Sus scrofa: one gene and its partners. The protein of the gene in region 1 interacts with the protein of each later gene in a biochemical or structural test. Links are inferred from orthologs where the notes say so. Each region holds a gene or a part of one and is shown in the gene's direction. Other genes may lie near its edges.

Region 1 (3,746 bases):
AGATCCACTGTTGTGGTTTGAGATTTTAATACCTTAGTCTCAACTGTTGATAGAACAATGAGATAAAAATAAACCAACAGCAAACCAGTAAAGACGTAAGAAGATCTCAAACACACTATTAACCACCTTGACCTAATTGACGTTTTGGACCCTGCACCCAGTTTCAGAACACGCCTTCTTTTCACCAAGATAGACCTCCTGCTGGGCCATCCGGCAGGTCTCCCTACATTTAACAGGACTGCAGCCATACCAGGAAAACAAAAGACTTAGACTAAGTATGTTTCAGAAATAAACAGCAGAGGAAGGATAACAATGACTCTTTCGCAATTAAAGCACTTCTAAGTAATCCGTGGGTAAAAGAAGAAACCAGGAGTTCCTGCTGTGGCACACAGGGTTAAAGATCCAGCATTGCCTCAGCTGTGGCCCAGGTGGCATTGCAGCCCAGATGCATTCCCAAGCCTGGGAACTTCCATATGTCTCGGGTGCGGCCAAAAAAAAAGAAGAAGAAAACGCAGAGGGAAATAGAAAATATCTTGAATTAAGAGAAAATGAAAACCACAGTGTGTCAAAGTTTGACTGGCACCTAAAGCGGTGCCAAAGGAGGTGTGTCTCTGAAACCCTTTGAAAAGGGATGTTCGGCATTCAGTGCTTCCAGCCCTCTGGTTAGGACCGATCTTTCTCTTGCCCTGTGCTCGGTATATTTGCCTCGATAGCAGTAGCAACTGTTGGACGCACCCCTCTGCTCACCTATCGGTCCCTTCCTTTCTAAACCTTAAGAGCCCTTTAAGGACAAGTGCTGCTGTTGCTGGCACTGTTTTGTCTCTCATTTCTAGTACAATGCATGACACTTTGTGGGGTCTCTGTGAGCTCTGCACGGAAGCTCGCGAGTGGAGCGGATGCGCCCGAGCGCCGGGCGAGGGTTCACAGACTGAGCATCCGCAGCCCCACCTTAGAGCTGAGAAAGCAGCCGCCCGGCCGGGGTCGGTGGAGCCAGCGACCAACCCACGTTCCCGTTGGTCCTCAGACATTTTCCTTCCAGCCCTGAGGTGCTGACAGAAACCTCACCGGGGGTGGTGAGACCCGTCTTCCAGCCGGAGGGCAGGATTTATTCCCGAGTCAAACGGGAAGCCTCAACCGGCTGTCAAAAGCATTGAGTCGTCTGTGGGCTCTGCAGGTTGGACCAGGGGGCCCTTCCACAAAGGCCCTGGGAGGACAGGGCCGACGGCTCTCCTGCCGGGGGGCCCCCCGCCTTTCCCAGAGCCCACTCAGTCTGCAGAAAGTGCTGGAACTTGAGGCCTCAGGCGCGGCCCCACGGGGAGGGGGCGGGGGCCCTGCACCACGAGAGCCTCTCGTTTCTCTATTTTCTACCTCGGTTTCAGTTCTTAACTGGCGTTTGTTTCCCCTTTGTCTCTGGTTCATCTTCCTTTTCCTGTTTGGCTCTAAGCAGAGCCTCAGCGTCACGTCGCTGCCTCCCCGGGGTCCGTGGCCCTCTGGTCAGCGGGCCCAGTGGGATCCACGACCCACCGCCTCGCTGCTCCGTGCCGCAGCCACGCAGCCATGGCCACCGTGTGAGTATGGGGACCAGGGGACAGGGGCGTCCGGAGGAGACCTGGAGCCGTGATAGCAGAGAGCCGAAGGCCCTGGAAACCCTCCCAGACCCGCAGGTTGCACGCATGGGGAGACCAGCTGTCACACCGCAGGTCGTGCGGAGCCCGCGCGCGCTCATCTGCGGGTCTGGCCGCCACACCGGCCCGGGTCCCTCGATGGCTGTTGTCTTTAGGCACTTTGTGTGCGTTTGGAAAGCGCCGCCTCAGAAGTCCAGGTGGCGGAGGGGGCTCTGAACCATGTGAGGGGGTTGGCATTCGGCTCAGAGGTGCTCCGATGGGTCCTGGGTTCTCCTCTGGGAATGGCCTGAAGACACTCGAGCGGTTTTCTCTCAATACTGGGCAGGAGGGAAGAAGTGGGGTACGCTTTGTAGTGGAAACTTCATGGGCCGTAACAGCAGGACCCCAAACGTCTGCTTTAGACACCTGTGGCTGACTTTGGGCCACCGGTCACTTAGACTGTTGTGGTTTCACGTGCATGTGGGCACCAGCCTGTTTGCGTCCTGCACATGTAACTTCTAAAAGTGAGATTGCGTTTTAGACATGCCTCTCCCTGCCCTGCAGCTCCATGAAAGACAATGGGCCACAGAGCAGGCTTTCATCCCCTGGAATCGGGGGCATTTGCCTGGTCCACTCCTTGCAGCTTTGCGTCTTAGCACAGAATTGTCATCCTGCTCCTTAAAGTTACTTCCCAGTTCCCACACTGCAGTTTGACCCATTCCCTTATCTGATGCTTCCAGCCTTGTTGGGTGGGTCAGCTCAGGGAGGGGATACTGGTGTCCTGTGGAGGAGGAGGCCTGGCCTCTGACGGGCCATGGCGCTTGCTCAGGGTTGCTTAGGAGGAGAAGCTTCCAGGACATGGGCCAGGCTCTCTGGGAGTGCCTTGCAATGCCTTGTGAAAGTGGATGGTGCGGGGAGTAGGGCTGGTGCCATGCTCCTGGTCAGCGGGGGAGCTCTGGGGAGGGCAGTGCTCCCGCCTCAGAGCGCAGCCTTGGCCAGGTGCTGGAGTCACTGCCTCCAGGCCCAGCGCTCATAGAGCCAGGGCAGGTGCTGTGTTTACAGTTGGCTCTGTTCCTGCTCCCTTGCGGCCATGTTTCCCATCATTTTAGTCATTTTCCTTGAGCCTTAGAAGGTTTGTGGGTGGAGCTGTGGAAAACAAGACTTTCCATTTCAAAGGCCTGTTACCTTCCAAAGTGGGCAGGAACCAGTCATCTTCAGCTGAAAGTTACACCATGAAAAGCACAGTGTATCCTGTCAGCTGCCATTGCAGAAAATACCGTCAGAAGTAAGTGAGGAGGAAGCAAAGCAGGTGTCAAAAATCCTTGAATTAAAAGTGTGGAAATCTTGGAGAGCCCATTGTGGCTCAGTGGTTGGCGACCCCGACTCGCATCCATGAGGACACGGGTTCGATCCCTGGCCTCGCTCAGTGGGTTAAGGATCTGGTGTTGCCGTGATCTGTGGTATAGGTTGCATACGCAGCTTGGATCCCACGTTGCTGTGGCTCTGGAGTAGGCGGTCGGCTACAGCTCCGATTCGACCCCTGGCCTGGGAACCTCCGTATGCCACGGGTACGGCCCTAAAAAGACAAGAAAGACAAAAAAGAAAAAAGAAAAGGTATAGAAATCCTAGGCGTTTCCATATTGAAAGCAGCTGAGAGCCCATCCAGCGTGGACTGTGTAGGTTAGTGGTGCCTTAGGCATCGCACCCGCCACTTCAACCAAATTTACTCTCTTTTATCTTTTTTAAGCAGTCCTCAATATTTCTTTGAGGAAAAAAATTGTATTTTGCTGGTGATAATTTTGAAATCTGAAAATGATTTTTTTTAGTCCAGCTCTGGGGCACCCAGGTCGGGCCGTCGAGGCAGCGTTTGTCTTGAGCGAGTTGGCCCCGTCCAGCCACTGCGAAGCCGCCCTGCACAGCCGCTGTAAGGCCCGCAGCGTTTGCTTGGGCACATGCTTGCCCGGCTGAGCTGGAACAGCTGGATTCCTCAGTCGCCGTGGCGCCTGAGCCAGCGGGGTCCCCAAAGGCCTCAGGGTCCCCAAAGGCCTCGGCGCCCTGAGAGCACGTCAGCCCATCCTGGCCAGCCATCCGCCAGGAACTGCGTTCTGAGCGCCAGCGCGTACGGTGCACCCTCTCCGTGTG
Region 2 (3,686 bases), on another chromosome or scaffold:
AATAAAGCCAAAGCTCCATCATGGTCTTAAGCCTTTTCATAGCCTGAGCTAAATGTAGTTTAACAGTCTCAGCATCTCTTAAGACACTTTTCTTCCCTCATCAGAGAATGCTATTCCTTGACTATTGTTGTTAATTTCCATACCCATACTACTCCATCCACTTGTACTCCATCTCCTATTCTTCGCCCAGGAAAACCCTGCTCACCCTTTAAAACCGGAATAAACTTTCTAGCAAACTACGGTAAGATTTATAGTCTCAAAATCAATGTTCCCTTCCTTGCAGTTCTGCAAATCTCCAGTAAAGTACCACAGCCTGACTAATATTTCAGGTGTTCCTCTTTCTCCTTCACTAGCTCTGTGTTCCAGTTTCATCCATCTACTCAAGGGTCCTCAGCTCCACCACCTACAAGGGCCAGGGAGCGCCTGGCTCTGGAATTGGAGAGTCAGGGGCTCTGAGAAATCTGAAGGGCCAAATGCCCCAGCTTAGATACCTAACAAATCAAGAAAAGCTCTCAAGAACCTACGTATTTCCCAGAGGGGCTGAGGAGCCCGCCCGCAGTGCACACTGGGAGACGTAGTTTGGGGCCGACCCACTACCTCTTGGGAGTTGTAGTCCTTGGTTTCGTAAAAGGAAGAAGGAGGCGACTTCCAAATTTTGAATTAGTCCTTGTGGGAAAAAGAAGAGGGAAATCCATAACCTTCTGCAAGGTCTGGGCCCTATCTCTGGGTCTCAAGAACGTTGGCCAAAGGGGAGGAAGGCGGATCCGAGAGGGGCGGGGAGACGTTACGTTGACGCGGACGTGACCCTGCCCAATAGCATTTGGCGGGATTTCCGAAGGCTGCAGGTTCGGCGCGCGCTGCGGCCTGAGACCGAGGTCTGAGGAGAGCTCAGACGCGCAGCTGGGAGCTGAGAAGTTTCGTGTATTCCGTGCCGAAGGCCGGAGCAGGGGAGTAGAGAGGTGGACGCTGCGAGGGGCTCTGCACTCCGTCCGGGGTCGAGCGCGCGCGGGTCCAGCGGACTGAGGTTCGGAACGCTCAGCCGGCCAGAGCGGGTAGCGCTGCAGGCCGAGGTGAGTGTGAGGCGCGGACCCGGCCCCTTCCCATCGCGGGGTTTGGCTAGGGGTAAGCCGGACTCGGACTGGACCCAGGCCCCGGGCTCCAGCTCCCGCCGCCGGCTTGCGGGCCCCTCCGCGCCAATTGAGAAAGTCGGAGAAGGCGGGGCGGAGCTGGGATGTGCCCTGGCAGATCTGACCCTGGCAGCTCTTTGTGGCGAAAATAGCAGCTCACTCTAGTCTTTGGAGCTGGGAGGAACTTAGAGGCCTTCACTTCCAACATCCACTTTCTGGGCATGGGCCAGGAAGCCAAGACCCAGAGAAGTGTAGAGCCTTAAAATCACAACTGTTAAGCCAGAGCCAGGGTTTCCGGATTTCTGGTCAGTCCCTTTTCCATAACACAAAGTTTAGCTTACAAAATACCCACCTCCAGTTGCCCAAAAGATATTTGAATTGTCTGATGTGGGAGACCTTTCACGTGATGCCTAGGGAATGATCTGTAGCGAGGTTTGTTGTTTTTTTCCTTAAACTTTAAAGTGAAGTGTAATATAGAAAAGTGTACAGATCGAAAGTGTATACAGCTTCATGAATCGTTATAAAACGAATATATACCTGTGTAATCACCACTCATGTCAGAAATAGATTTTTCTCAGCACCCCGGAAGCCTCCCTTGTGCCCCCTTATCTAATACTCTCCTTTCTCCCGAGAGCTAACTAGTTGACAGACGGCTAACACCGTTGACTAATTTTGCCTGGTTTTGATTTTTGGCCGCACCAGGGACAGCCCCAGGACAGTGATGGAACCCGCCCAACAGCAGGACAACGCCAGATCCTTAACCTCCTAAACCATAAGGGAATTTCTCCGTTTTTGAGGGTTTTTTTTCTGTCTTTTGTCTTTTCAGGGCTGCACCCATGGCATATGGAGGTTCACAGGCCAGGGGTCGAATCGGAGCTGTAGCCGCCAGCCTACTCCACAGGCACAGCAACGCCTCCCCAACCCACTGAGCAAGGCCAGGAATCGAACCTGCAACCTCGTGGTTCCTAGTCGGATTCGTTAACCACTGAGCCACGACGGGACCTCCTGTTTTTGAGTTTTATGTAAGTAATACTGTATATTTTCATGTCTGGCTTTGCTCAACATTTTGTCTTTAGATTCATACGTCTTTGCATTTGGCAGTAGTTCTTTCTGGTTGCTGTATTGTATTTCTTACTCATTTTACCTGTGGTAGATATCTGGATTTTTTTCTGCTTCTCAGCTTTTATGAGAAAGGTTGTGGAGAACATTCCCACATACATTTTGGTGCACACGTGTATGGTTTGCAGTTGGTTAATAACACAGAGTAGTGAAATTCCTGGGTCATGGCATTTGTCTATCTTTTCTTTCTTTCTTTTTTTTTTTTTTTTTGTCTTTTTACCTTTTCTAGGGCCTCTTCTGCAGCATATGGAGGTTCCCAGGCTACCAATCAGAGCTGTAGCCACCAGCCTATGCCACAGCCACAGCAACGCTGGATCCTTAACCCACTGAGCAAAGCCAGGGATCGAACATGCAACCTCATGGTTACTAGTTGGATTTGTTAACAGGTGAGTCACGATGGGAACTCCAGCATTTGTCTATTTTCACCTTCCATATTTAATACTAGTTTTCTAAAGTGGTCTAATTTACACTTAAACCAGCGGTGAATGAGTGTTTAGTTATCCTACACATTGGCTAACATTGTCAGTCTTTTAAATTTTAGCTATTATATAATGGTTTTAATTTTAATTTTCTTGATTAATGAAGTTGAGCATTTGTTGATAGGTTTATTAGCCACTGGGGTATCTTCTGTTATGAAGTGCTTGTTCACATCTCTTGCCTATTTTTCTACTGGGTTGTCTTTCTTATTGATTTGAAAGAATTCTCTATGTATTCTGGTTATCAGCCCTTTATATTCATAATTGTGGTAAGTATAACAGTTTATTTTTGTGGTAAATATTTTCTCCTCGCATTTTTCATTCTTTCAGTGGTGTATTTTGATGAACAGGAGTTCTAAGTTTAAATATAGTCTAATTTTCCAGTCTTTTCCTTTTTGATTATTGCTTTACGTGTGCAGTTCAAGCCACCTTTTTCATAAATTACAAAGGGAGATATTTAAATTGCATTCAGGTGATCCTGATATTTGGAATTATAGATCACATTATGCTAAATCCTCAGTCTAAGAGCTGTACTTGAAATACTCAAGAACAAATGTCATCTTTCAAGTCCAAGAATGGAGATTTATTTTCCTTTTCTCTTTTCTTTCTTTTTTTCTCTCTTTCCCTCTTTCTCTCTTTCTTTCCCGCACCTGTGGCATATGGAAGTTTCTGGGCTATGGATTGAATCCCAGGCACAGCTGTGTCCTGTGCCACAGCTGTGGCAACTCCAGGTCCTTAACCTGTTATGCCACAGCAGGAACTCTTGTCTGTTTTCTTTTGAGTTAAATTTATCCTATTGTTAAATTGTCCAGCTTGTTGTGGTGTGATTTGAGTCCATTTATTCTTGTGGACATCAATACTTGTTTGCTTTTACAATACCTCAAGAAGATATTTAACATTTTTTTGTTCTCCGTTCTTTTCAAACTGAGCAATCTTAACTCTTATCATATTAATCTGACTTTTC
Region 3 (3,746 bases), on another chromosome or scaffold:
TTCACTCCAGTGAAACTTCTTAGAAGGTCAGTAAAGAAGGAGATGAGACAATGAATTTAGATTTGGCATTTTTAGTTTTCGGCACTTTGAGGACATCTTGAGTCGCTTGCTCAATATTCCGTAGGTATAAGAAATGAAAACCTGTCTTGGAGGAATGAGCCAGAAGAGGGTTTCTGGCTGGTAATCTCCCCCCTCACCAGCCTCGATGGCCTCTGGGCCACTGACCTGCCCGCTGGGAACTAGCCCACCATCCGGGCCGCTGTGCAACACTGGGCCGCCCCATTCCCTGCTTACGCCTGTCGTCCACGTTCTGCCTTCTTCCCTCCCTCCCGGGAGCTTCCACTGGAGAGCAATTCATCTGCCACGTCTGCAAGGCCCTGGTGTCACGCGATCGTGTTCGACGACAGGGTGGGGGTGAGGGAACACCTGGGTTCCAGCGTGAGGTCCCCGCTTACCTGTGACCGCGGGCAAGTCGCTTTACCTTCCTGAACCTGAGCACCTGCCCAGGAAAACTGAGGACGGTCGCCGCGGCGACTGCACAGGGCCGCTGTGAGGACGAGCGCGTGGGAAGGGTTCACCGCCGCGCCTGGCACGGCGTGAGCGGTCGAGAGACACCGGCTACTATTATTACCGCCCACGCCGCGTGCGCCTCGCCGCTCCACCAGCACGCCAGGGAGGGCTGCCGCCGGGGCCCCGCAGGCTGCCTCCTCCGCGCCGCTGCCCGCGCGCCCGCCCCGGCCCCGCCGCTCCCGCTCCATCCCCGTGGCGCGTCGCCCCGCCGGGGTGCGGGGCCGAGGCCCGGACAGGCGCGCACGGTGAGTCCGGGGCCTCGCGGCGGAGGGCGGGCGGGGGGCGGCCGAGGCCGGGGCAGCGCCCGGGGACCCGGGGGCCGGGCGCGGGGACGGCGGCGGGCGAGGGCGCCGGGGCGGCGCGGCTCCCCGAGGCCCCAAGGCCGCGTGGGGAGGGGCCCGCGGGGGGCTCGCGCCCGCGCCCGCGCTCGCGCCCGCGCCCGGCCCAAGATGGCGCCCCTCCCCCAGCCCGGCCCGGCGCGCGCCCCCGCCGCTCCGGGCGCGGCCCCGCGGCCCGCGCGCTCCTGGGCGGGGGATGTTGTGATGGAGAAGCCGCCGCGGAGCCCGAGCCCCGCAGCCTGAGCCACCTCCGCCACCTGGGCCTGGGGCCTCCCCGCGCAGGTAGGAGCTGCCCCTGCCGAGGCCCAGCCCGGGCGCTCGGATCCCGGTCCCCGGCGGCCGGCGGACCCCGCAGCCGGAGCCCTGTGGCGCCCCTTGTCCCCCGGCCAGGCCCGGTCCGGGCAGGCGGCCCTCCCGCCGCCTATTCCGACCCCCCCAATCTCTTCCTCCCTTACCAGGTCCGACCCCACTTCGGTCCTCACCCCGTCCCCTCCCCGACCTTTACCTCCTGCCTCTCCGGGATGAATAGGAAGCGAGAAGGGGGAACGGGAAGAGGGGGGCGGTGGGGGTGGGGGAGGGGAGGTCTAGGACGGGGAGGGGGACGCGGGGTGAGGCAGGCAGACAGGCCGCAGGGATTCCTGCAGGGTCCCAGGCCTGGCATCTGTCAAGCCGCATTCTGTTGCCCTCAGCGACCGAGGGGTGTGCCCTGGCGCCGGCTGTGTCCCCAGGGCTCGGGGAGGCCTAGCGCTGGCAGGAGCGCTCCCTAGGAGCCGCTTTCCCACTGCCAATGCGGAGGGTATTCGAACCAGTTTTGCATCTGCCCGTGCTGCTGCTTGCATTCCCAGCCCCTCCGCAGAGTCCAGCTCCCTCCCGTCCTTACAGCGGGTTCCTCCTCTGCGCTTGCTGTGTTTATTTCCTCATTTCCCATTCATTCCTAAAGCCACTTCACTCCATCCTCTGCCTCTGGCACCCGCGGAAACTGCTCTAGCCAAGGTCACTGGAGACTTCCATGTGGCCAACCCCAGTGGATGCTTTCCTGCTATCCCCTCACGTTTCCGAGCACTCGTGGGGGACGTCACTCTCCTTGAAACATTTTCCTGGTCTCCCCTGCAGCATTGTCTGCTCCTTCTCCATCTCATTTGCTCCCTCCTTCCCTCCCTTTCGATGGTGGTGAGATTCTTGCTTCTTTCCTGGGCTATCTTCTTTCATTCGGCACCTTTTCTTCAGGTATTTCGTTCACTCTCAAGGCCTCCAATTCCATTTATATATATATATATATTCCATTTATATATATATATTCCATTATATATATATTCCACTTATATATAGAAATATAATTCCCAGCCTTATCTATCTTGCCCAGATCTCTTCCTGAACTCCAGACTCAGCCTCCACCTGGCCTCCTGACATCCCCTTGAAAGTCCAACAGGAATTCCAGACTTACAGATCCCAAGCTGTGTTGTCCTCCCCGTGTTCCCTTTCTGCTGTTCTTCTGAATCGACTCCTCCTTCAACTCTCAGAAATGGCTACTTCCCAATCAGTTACCAAACTGGAATCCTGGGCTACAGTCTAGATGAACCTCTCTCTCTCTCATTCGCTACGTCTCGTGTCATCAAATTCTGTCACATCCACTACCCAAGTGATTTTCAAATGCATTCATTTCACTCCATCTCACCCACTGCCACCAAGCTTAACCTAGGCCATAACCCCCGCCTCCTCTTTCCCTTGATCGCTCTGAGAGCCTATACCCTGCTGCCTCCCTCCCCTTAATACTCTAATATAGTGTTTTCCTTAAAAAAACAAAATAAAATAAGGAGTTCCGTTGAACCTGACTGATATCCACGAGCATGCAGGTGCGATCCCTGGCCATGCTCAGTGGGTTAAGGATCCAGCATTGCTGTGGCTGTGGTGTAGGCTGGCAGCTGCAGCTCCAATTCAACCCCTAGCCTGGGAACTTCCGTATGCCGCATCTGCAGCCCTAAAAGGAAAAAAGGGGTCTATCTAATCATTTATTCACGCAGCAGATACGTTTTGGACACGTAATACATACCAGGTACTGTTAGGCACTGATGGTATAATTTCGAGCACAATGGACTGCGTCTGTGTCCGCCTTTATCTGATACCCCGCAGCTGACAGTCCAGGGGGAATCAGATAAGAATAAGATTGCAAATTTAACAAATACCACGGGGGGGGGGGTGTTGCCTTGAGAGCACCAGCGAGCACAGGCTACACTGATCTGGGGGAGGAGGGGGGAAGGAAGGCTTCGCTGAGAACATGCTGCTGGAACTAAGAGGTAGAGGACGGTTACTAGGGCCAGGCTGGGAGGGTAGGACGTTCCCGGGAGAAGGGGAATCGCACGCAGACACCTTCTGGAGGGAGAGGGCACAGTGTCTTCGAGGAATCAAAAGAAGGCCAGCGCGGCTGGACAGCAGAGTGCCAGAGCTGGAGAGGAAGGCAGAGGCCAGACTGAGCTGGACAGTTGAAGCCATGTTGAGAATTTTAATCTTAAGGTCCTTGTCCTTGGGGTGGACAGTTGTCGGTAGTGGATGTGGACAGTGGATCAAGTCCAGAGTTTTCTCTTGGAGAGAAATTGTCAGGACCTGGGGATGGATTGAGTATATGCAGCGCGAGGGGACGGTCGCGTCTGGAATGGTCCCCTCCTTCTGGTATAGGCAGCAGGATGGTTGGTCCTGTCATTCCCTGAGCCGGCGTCCTGAACGGGGACCAGTTAGGGGATGGCAGAGAGAAACAGGAACGGGTGTGTGGGTTTGAGAGGCCTCTGAGACCTCCAGGTGGGGTGGTGAGTAGGCCGCCGACTGAGTGTATCTGGAGCTCAG

What was found. The genes of interacting proteins can lie anywhere in the genome.
Region 2: the proteins of EVL (region 1) and RAD51 form a complex in vitro, tested with the Homo sapiens proteins (2 studies listed by BioGRID and IntAct). The link is inferred for Sus scrofa from reciprocal best matches to the Homo sapiens genes EVL and RAD51.
Region 3: the proteins of EVL (region 1) and APBB1 form a complex in vitro, tested with the Homo sapiens proteins (2 studies listed by BioGRID). The link is inferred for Sus scrofa from reciprocal best matches to the Homo sapiens genes EVL and APBB1.

Annotation. Positions count from the first base shown.
Region 1 is NC_010449.5:120,986,828-120,990,573, forward strand, and holds the start of EVL (ena/VASP-like protein), read left to right. Parts: upstream 1-1,423; 5' UTR 1,424-1,557; coding exon 1,558-1,568; intron 1,569-3,746. UniProt on the Homo sapiens protein: Ena/VASP proteins are actin-associated proteins involved in a range of processes dependent on cytoskeleton remodeling and cell polarity such as axon guidance and lamellipodial and filopodial dynamics in migrating cells.
Region 2 is NC_010443.5:130,637,262-130,640,947, reverse strand, and holds the start of RAD51 (DNA repair protein RAD51 homolog 1), read left to right. Parts: upstream 1-839; 5' UTR 840-1,070; intron 1,071-3,686.
Region 3 is NC_010451.4:3,302,300-3,306,045, forward strand, and holds the start of APBB1 (amyloid beta A4 precursor protein-binding family B member 1), read left to right. Parts: upstream 1-1,047; 5' UTR 1,048-1,190; intron 1,191-3,746. UniProt on the Homo sapiens protein: Transcription coregulator that can have both coactivator and corepressor functions. Adapter protein that forms a transcriptionally active complex with the gamma-secretase-derived amyloid precursor protein (APP) intracellular domain.